Rattus norvegicus: one gene and its partner. The protein of the gene in region 1 binds, or shares a complex with, the protein of each later gene. Links are inferred from orthologs where the notes say so. Each region holds a gene or a part of one and is shown on either strand. Other genes may lie near its edges.

What was found.
Region 2: Polr3c (region 1) and Polr3g share a complex: the UniProt entries of both Homo sapiens proteins name them as parts of the RNA polymerase III complex. The link is inferred for Rattus norvegicus from reciprocal best matches to the Homo sapiens genes POLR3C and POLR3G.

Annotation. Positions count from the first base shown.
Region 1 is NC_086020.1:186,948,051-186,952,540, forward strand, and holds the start of Polr3c (DNA-directed RNA polymerase III subunit RPC3), read right to left. Parts: upstream 2,909-4,490; 5' UTR 2,797-2,908; exon of another isoform or gene 2,564-2,796; coding exon of another isoform or gene 2,550-2,563; exon of another isoform or gene 2,527-2,549; intron 1,393-2,526; coding exon of another isoform or gene 1,374-1,392; coding exon 1,227-1,373; intron 1-1,226. Other genes in the region: E3 ubiquitin-protein ligase RNF115, read left to right, coding at 2,909-3,364. UniProt on the Homo sapiens protein: DNA-dependent RNA polymerase catalyzes the transcription of DNA into RNA using the four ribonucleoside triphosphates as substrates.
Region 2 is NC_086020.1:13,718,961-13,723,336, reverse strand, and holds the start of Polr3g (DNA-directed RNA polymerase III subunit RPC7), read left to right. Parts: upstream 1-1,549; 5' UTR 1,550-2,199; intron 2,200-4,376. Other genes in the region: acyl-coenzyme A thioesterase MBLAC2, read right to left, coding at 1,096-1,549. UniProt on the Homo sapiens protein: DNA-dependent RNA polymerase catalyzes the transcription of DNA into RNA using the four ribonucleoside triphosphates as substrates.

The DNA of each region.
Region 1 (4,490 bases):
GATATTTGTTATATAGCTGAGGTGACCTTGAACTTCTGAGCCCCTCTCTCAAGTGCTGGGATCATGAACATAAATCACCATGCCCAGTTCTATGTTAGTGTTGGAGCTCAAGCCAGGACATCCTACATGCTATGCGGTGTAGCTGGCCTCTACTACTTTGTGGGTTCTTCTTTTTCCCACCCACTCCCATCCCCATCCCAGTTTCACCCCTAACACTACATAAGAGAGAAACAAGGAGGAATTAGGGAACCCCCTGAATTTAATTTCTTTCATCTCTTCTTTGACCACACAATTAGTAAACCACAATTTCCCTGACTAACAACCACTGACCCCACCTATCGGGGGCTAGCATTTATTATCCTCTGAAAAGTTCCCAGAATCCCAGACATTGCACAGTGACAGAGACTATCAATAGCTGGCAAAACCATGCCTCTGCTAGAACACAAGGTAAGGCTGCTGCGACAGTCCGAAGCAGCCCCATATCCACACACCTGGGACTAAAACAAAAAAAAGTATTCTTAGATATTTCTGTGTGTGTGTGTGTTTTTTTTTTTTTGGTTCTTTTTTTGGGGGTGGGGACCGAACCCAGGGCTTTGCGCTTCCTAGGCAAGCGTTCTACCAATGAGCTAAATCTCCAACCCCTGTGTTTTGTTTTAAAGATATATTTATTATGTAAACAGCATTCTGCCTGCAGACCAGAAGAGGGCACCAGATCCCATTATAGATGGTTATGAGCTACCATGTTGTTGCTGGGAATTGAACTCAGGACCTCTGGAAGAGCAGTCAGTGCTCTTAACCTCTGAGTCAGCTCTCCAGCCCTAGTTCTGTGTTTTTAAGGAAACCACAATCCCCAAATTGTCAATACAATGTAGTCACTGTGCCAACCGAGCTCCATCCTTGACTAGGATGGCGACAGAAACCTTTCACCTCACAGTTTACTGTTTCTATCTTTTCTATTCCTTAAAGGCAGTACTCGATCTGCAGACTTACTGTAAATAAATGAGCATGGCATGGGAACAGCAAAGATGAGCTAGGGACACCATGAACAGCAGTACACTGGGGCCTAAGTACAATACCACACCCCCACCCCACCCACAGTGCTTTTGACCAGAGGGCAGGCTTTCTCTGTTTATACTGCCTAAGTAAAGGAGCACTACAGTTCAAAGGTGCTTGAAGGAAATGAATTGAAGAAGTTCAAGAGAGCAAACTCTCTTATCTAAACATACCTGGTCCAGTGATGCTTTTGTGTCATGGGCAATTACTCTAAGTGGCTGGCTCCCAGTTCTGATTAGGTGGACTCCAATTTTTTCTACAATCTCACCAAAATGCTCTTGTAGCAACAAAGAGCACAGTTTAATTTCTGCTTGAGTCATTGCACTTGGAGCCTTAGAACTAGGAAAGAACAACAATATAAATTCACATATTTTTTTTCTAGAGGGTAACGGCAATATACATCAAAACTTTTATATTAAGGCATATTTATCGTAATACTTATAAGTGAGGATCCTCTGTTCCAAGGATATAGTAAAAATCATGCCATGAGTTCTCTTCACAATACTGGCATTGACAAACTAAAACAATCTAGCATCTATCAATAAATTATAGTATAACCTTAAATGAGTACACAATGCCAACATTTAAAATGACTTTGTACAATATAACTACCATAAGATATCCTAATGTGTTGTTATTTAGTAATTGGAATGGTCAGATATGACGGTGTACACTGCCTGTAATTCTAGCACGCAGGAAGCCAAAACCAAAGAATCAATAGTTCCAGGACAACCTGGGGCACAAAGTAAGTTCAAAGCCAGCCTATGTTATATAGCAAGACTCTGGTGGATGAGACACCCTCCCACCAAAACAAAGGACTGGAAAACCAGACATCAATTTTTTTTCTAAAGCCAGGTATGGTGGTGCATGCCTATAGTTCCAGCACTTAGGAGGTGGAAGTAGGAGGGTCAGGAGTTCAAGGTTACATATTATTGAGTTCAAAACCAGCCTGGCTACATGAGATCCTGTCTCAATATATATATCCATATATCCATACACACACACACACACACACACACACACACATATATATTATCCTCCTCTATACATATACCATTTATTTAAACGGGAGTATATGTGATTCCAATAATCTTTAAAGACTGGATTCATCTGGGTGTGGTGGCTAACATCTGTAATCCCAGCACTAAAGCTAGAAGATTGCCATAAACTCAAGACCAGTCTGGGCTACATAATAAATACCAAGCAAACCTGGTCCAGAGTGAGACCTCTAAAAGTAAAGGGGGAGGGGGAGTGTAAATGACTTCGCAATCTGTCACAGAAACAAAGAACTAAGGTTCATGACTCAGTGGGGGTACAAAGTATCATTCCCAAGCCATAAACCATGATTTAGAAAGAGAAAGTAAAAATGAGCTTCTCAACAGGGTATTTTAATTAGGAGAAGAAGTTATGCTCCATTTTACATCCTGACGAATGGGACACAAGCAGAAATGGAAGTATTGATTTATAAATTACCTCCCTATATCACAAGCTGCTACCTGCCATTATTCATCTCTTTCTTCAACTCTTCAGAACCTAAATTTTTTTCCCTCTTGCCACAGGGTCGCACAGAAGACTATTTCACTTATCCACACGTCTTTGGAGAAACATCCTTAGACCAGTTGCCATCCTTGAAAACATTTCCAAGGCGCCTGGCTCCTCTTGCCTTCATGGAAGTTTCTGTTCCGGACTTTGTTTCTTAGCCCTGAGTCAGGGCCTCCTCATTCCGGCAGCTTTTTCACTAACCTCAGGGTCAGTGCTAATTTAGAAGCTCCAAAAGTTATCCTCCCGAGGACAGTAGCCTAAGATCAGGAGCAGCCCATAGCCCCTTCTTAGAAGTAGCGCACCATCCAGGCGGATGCGGAAGGGTCAGAGCACAGACCGCTCTAGCCGACCGTGTCGGTGGTTTCCGGAGACGCTCTTTCTTTCCTCTCGTTGGAAGGCTGGAGGACCGGCCAGAGGCTGTCTGAGGTGCCGGCGGGCGGGCTCTCTGCCTTTGGTGCCGGGAGGCGGGCCTCGGGTCGCGCGGCCGCTGGCGGGCGGGCCTCTCGGGGCCGGGCGGACTCACGTGACCCTTGCGGGCCTTGGAGCGGCGGGCCGCCCAGAGGAGGCGGCGACGGCGGCGGCGGCGGCGGCGACCGCAGCCCAGGAGGTAGCGGCCTGGGGAGGGACCGCCGGCCGCCCTTTCGGACATCCTCCGCAGAGGCGAAAAATGGCGGAGGCCTCGGCGGCGGGGGCGGACGCGGGCTCCGCTGTCGCCGCGCACCGTTTCTTCTGCCACTTTTGTAAGGGCGAGGTCAATCCCAAACTACCGGTAAGAGCCCCGTGTGTCCCGCGCTCGGGCGCCGCGTAGGTCCCTGGCCCCTAAGGCTGGAAACCGGGTCTTAAGCTGCCCGCACACCCGTGATTCCCTTGACACCGGTGTCCTCGGTACCTGCTGCCTGCTGTCTTGGGTACTGGCAGCAAACCCTAGGCATCAGGGCCAGCGTCCTGCCTAGCCCACATTTCCGCGGCGTCTCCAGTCTGCCCCTCATTTCGCTTCCGCTCTTTAATACCACCCCCATCTTTTTGTCTTCCTCGGTGAATTCACAGCCAAAACTGCGCCTAATTTGCTTGCAGTCCTCTTCCTTGTCTTCTTTTCGTGATGACCTATCCCCCTGTACTCTTTCCGTTTTTGCGTCTCACCTAGTCTTATTTTTCCTCCCACTTCTCAACCAGATCCTCCCCCTTCTGCATCCTCAGTGAGACAAAATGCTGAGGACTCCTTAGTAGGTTTTGTTGAAGTACAGAAAGAGAAGGTTTGGAAGGTATCAGGGAAGAGGGAGATTTTGCTCTTCACTGGTTTTTGGGCTCTTGTGAAAGTGAAAATAGCAGTGTACCAATGACTTGCAGACTGCGCTCCCTGTTGCTATTGAAGGAAATGGCTTTGGGAAGAAGGTGGAACGTACTGTTTCAACTTAGTTTATTTTGGATATCACGTTGCCAGTGTCTCTAGTTCCACTTTCCTAGCCCACCCCCTCGATTTTATTTTTCTGTTCAGGAAAACAAAAAAAGGACAGAATGTTGGGACTGCTTTCTCTGATATAAAATTGGTTCTGCCAGGCTGTCAGCCAATAGAGAATAGGTAGGAATATGCTTTGAGAAGAAATGGCTTCTGCAGCATGCTAGCCAGTGCCAGCGCCTCCAGTTATGTTTTTTTTTTTTTTTTTTTCTTGACGGGTGGGTGAGATTCTTCTTAAAATGAGTGGTTATGTCATAATTTATTTTTATTCACGGTATCTTGAATACATGGTATCTTTTTGTTTGTTTGTTTGCTGTTTGCGCCAGGGTCTCACGGTGTAGTCCTGGCCATCCTGGAACTTGCTATTCAGATCAGACTGGCCTAGAACTCACAGAGGTGTGCCTGCTTCTTCTTCCTCCCAAGTGTTGGTATTAAAAGT
Region 2 (4,376 bases), about 170 Mb from region 1:
ACAGATTCAACTAACCTAGACCCGTAGGAGCACTGAGAGACTGAAGCTCCAAGCAAAGAACATACACAGCCTTAAGAGGCCCCAGGCACAGATGTAGCAGACCTGCAGCTCAGTCTCCACAGCTGCCTTGTCTGGCCTCAGTGAGACAGGATGCACCTAATCTGGCAGAGACTTGATGTGCTGGGGGTGGGGGAAGGGATACCCAGGGGGCCTCCACCCTCCCAGAAGGGGAGACGGGATGAGGGAGTCTCTGTGAGGGAGGGAGCAGGAGGGGGGAGTAGCTTTTGGGATGTAAATAAATAAATCCTAAGGCAAAAAATATAAAATTGATATACCAAGTATTGCTGTTGTCGCTAACCAGTTCAATTAGTGCAGTCCTGCATGGGGAGAAGGGGATTGGGACCCTACTCTATCTTGCTCCATTTTATCAATTTCTTAGGACCAAGAGAATGAAGTCTGCATTAATTAATGCACACACTTTATCCATGGGAAACAACTCCCTTATTGATCGTTCTTAGGCCTCGCTCTCATCCAGACCAGATAGCTGTCATAATTCTACGTTCATGTCCACCATCAAGCCTTTTTTCTTTTTGAGAGGCAATAAGCAAACAAATCCATCTGAAAGGTAAGGATGGACGAAAGCTCTCTAAGTCTACAGGTGAGACTGAGGCACTCTGCGGTGAGCAGTGCGCAGGCAGCAGAAGTCAGCAGTTTTCAGAGCACAGAGCCTAACACTCTCCACAAGGTGCCATATCTTAAAAGCCTACTCGTTACAAAAGCTGGAAATGTTCAACTGGTACTTGGGAAAAGAATGGAATATCTCCAGTCACAAGTCTCTGCAGTGTAACTACCGTAGCCGACTGACTGGGGATGGTGTGAGCTTTCAAATAAACAGCCACACAGTAGCAGCGCGCATCTCCTGGCAGAGAAGACTGAGTGGGCCTAGGCTCTGCCCAAGCTGGCTTTCACGCAGCAAAGGGTGAGTCAGAGTATTCCCGCACGGTAGCCCAACAGTGCCACGGAGGTCTGCAACAAGCTGTACACGCTCGCCAAGCCCCTCCCTCAGAGACAGCGCGCGCCCCCGGGACCTATTACCATCCTGCAGAATGAGGGTGGGTTGCACTGCCTGCACTCGGAATTGCCTGGCCCTCCAGCCAGGGCTGGGCGCCCGCACCACCTCGCTGTCAGAGAGCCAGGTCACGGTCTCAAAGTTGTCCCCGCGAGCCAGGGCCTCGGCTTCGGCGCGGTGCACAGCCACCTGGTCGAACTGATAGAGCCCGCCGGAGTGATCAAAGTGCACGTGGGTGGCCACGGCCAGCAGCGGCCGACGTCCTGCATCCTCTTTGGCACCACAATCCTGCAAGAGGCCGGAGGAGTAGAGGTACTCCGGGAGGCTGCGTAGCCCCAGGCCCGTGTCGATCACCACGTCCTGCTCCGAGCCGCGCACCAGCCAGATGTTGGCCCGGTTGCCTGACTCGTAGAACCGTTCTTGAATCCAGAAGATGCCATCGCCCAGAGACTTGTGGGCATACCACTCGAGTGCCGACATGCCGATGCGCAGGGGTGCGGCCGGGCAAGGTGGGTGTGCCTCCCACAGGCAGTCCAGGACTCGCCGCTGCTGCAGTGAGCGAAGAGCTACTCTCAGCTCCGGAGGAGGCGCGATCGAGGGGCGGGGATGCGGAAGGGAGCGCGGATAGGACGCAGCGACACTGCCCAGATCGCCTGTTCCTCGCCCTCCCGTCCAAGCCGCAGAGCGCAAAGACTGCACCCCAGCTGCCGCAGCTTCTGCAGCTGCAGCACCAAGGCGGTGACACAGGCCGCTGAAGCGGGGCGGAGACACCGGGCAATGCTGCCCTGCTCGGGGTTCCGACTGCAGAGGCCTGGAGGGATGCGTGGGAAGAGACAGGACCGCCCCCACACGGGCCGCGGGCGCTGCGCACTCGTAGCGGGAGGCCAGAGTGAGGCCGAGCCAGTTGGAGGTTGACTACGGCGCCTGCCAAGGGCTAAAAAGCTCCTTTCCGGGGGTGTGGCCTCGTAGAGTGGGCGGGGCTTCCAGTGCGCTACCCTGAGCCGGAGCCGCGTGCGGTGAGGTTCTCGCTGTTCCGGAGGTGGAATCTGCTGCTCCTTGCTGGCGCGACTGCCAGCTTTCCTGCCACCATCGCTGCACAGTGTGCCCAAGCCTCGAGACTTGGTGAGAAGGTAACTGGAAACTATCCCGGACTGGGCTGGAGGTGAAGAGGGTAGAAGGGAGTTGATGGGGCACGTGGAGAACGTGGTGGTCCGATAATCTGGAGCCAAAATTCATCAAAGCCCCTCTGGAGTGACTTTGGGCTGTACCCCTACCTCCCAAAGCCTGCTGCTGCCGGCTTCCAAACCTTTAAAAGTTTTGGTAGCCAGATCTTCCAGCCTCACGCTGGAAGTTTATCCTTTTACAAGAGAAGACTTTGCAAATCCGGGGACTGTGGTTTTTGTTCATGTAAAGTTTGGCGGCAGTTTGGCTAATAAGGGCATACTTATCATCGCTTCTTTTTTCTTAACTGTTGGCACCTTTGATAGTGGGGAGAGGGGCTGGTGATAGAATTTTTCTTTAAGGAGATCCTAAATGCCCGTCATAGTTCTGGGTGTTTCCTTGCTCTTTGAAGAGAGCAGAAAAGGTTAGAGCTTAAGGCAAGGCAGAGATCACTTTGAGGGGACAGGGAAAGTGGATAATCACTGGGTGTGGCCTTGCAAGCAACCGAAATCACCCCCACTGTCAGTATCAAGTCCCTGTGCTTGCACCCCAACCATTAGCTACCGATGCATCTCTTTCAGATTCAGAAATTCCCTTGAGAATTTGACTAACCTTCAGAAATTATAAAGAGACCCACGGGGACAGCATTATCAAAGATAATTAGCAAAATCCTTCCTGTGGCACATAAGTCTTTCCTGGAGGGAGAGATGCATTCTTCCTACACTCCCAAACTCTCCAGTGGGTGTGGGAGCAGGTCGCTGCTCTTTTGAGTATTTTGCTAATCTCATCTATTATTCAATTATGCAATTGGGACCATTCTTAGCACTAGTGCCTGAACTAAATGATGTGTGACAAGCAGAAAACTGTTTAAAGAAAAGTCTGATTTGAGTTCTCAAGAATCTGAGGAAGCTGACACTTGTACACAAATACTTGTTAACTAATGCATCATGAATGCAAAAATTGGGTTCTGCCTAAGAAGGTGTTCTCCACAGAGAAACACAGTGCCCTCTTTACTTTATGCTTCTGCGGCAGAAGGGAGGCACTCGGTAAGATGGCACAGTGTTGTTCTGTGGTCATGAGCTCAGAAATAATTCAGTGATGATTATCCAGCTTGTGCCTAGCTCTAGAGGCCTTTGGACCTACAGTTTCTGATGACTCTTTTATTCTTTTCAATATGACTCTGTTTCTCATCTTAATTAAATTTATGCTCAGATAGTCCCAAATGACTAGTTTATCTGGCCTGGTTCCTGCTTCACTTTCACACCATCTGTCAGGCTCTGACAGGTTCTCCTGTCCGTGAACTCCATAAGCGCAGAGACATTATTTTGTTCACCTCTCTATTTCCAGCAGAGAGGATGGTTTGACCCAGAGGTAGGGTTAGGGTTAGGGCTTCATAAAGACGCCAGTGGATGGTCAAAGACTCTCCCTGGGGAGGCAGAAAACCAACAGTCAGTTACTTGGTGAGAAGCAGAAGTTAAATGTCCTGAGCTTTGTTAAACTGAAGAGAACAGTATATCGGAAGTGTAAAGATTTGCCTTCTATTAAATTGACAAGAGTTTGGTTGAGAATGATAGGAATCTGGACATAAAATGTCTAGCATGTTTCAAAGGGTCAGATGAGCAATGCTAAGGCCTGAGCTAATGCAGAAGAAAGGAGAAGACTAGGGAACACACAGCTAATGGTCATTCTTCAGAGAGATACTGTGACCTGGCTTTTGCTGTCTCCCCTGACCTCCAGCTAGTTGAACATTTACTCATCTCCTTAAATGTGTAAGGTTGTGTGTACACGAGGATGATACATTTAAGTCACAATCATAACTCATGACATTTTAGATCTAGGAAGAATTGTAGAGATGAACTCACCATTTTCCAGGTGGTTGTGTTTGGAGATGGTTAGGATAGACTTTGGTCTCTTGAATAACGCCCATTTTTAAATCTCTTGGAACAGATTCCAAATGGGAATTTTGAGGCAGCGTTCTGAGCTGGAAGGGGCAGTGCGAACTTGTCCATGTTGCATTTTAAATTTCAGATTTGGGGGCTGGAAAGATGGCTTAGCAACAAAGAGCTCATGTTACTCTTGTAGGGGATCAGAGTTCAGTTCCTAACAACCACACCAAGTGGCTCACAAGCACCGTTGACCTTAGATC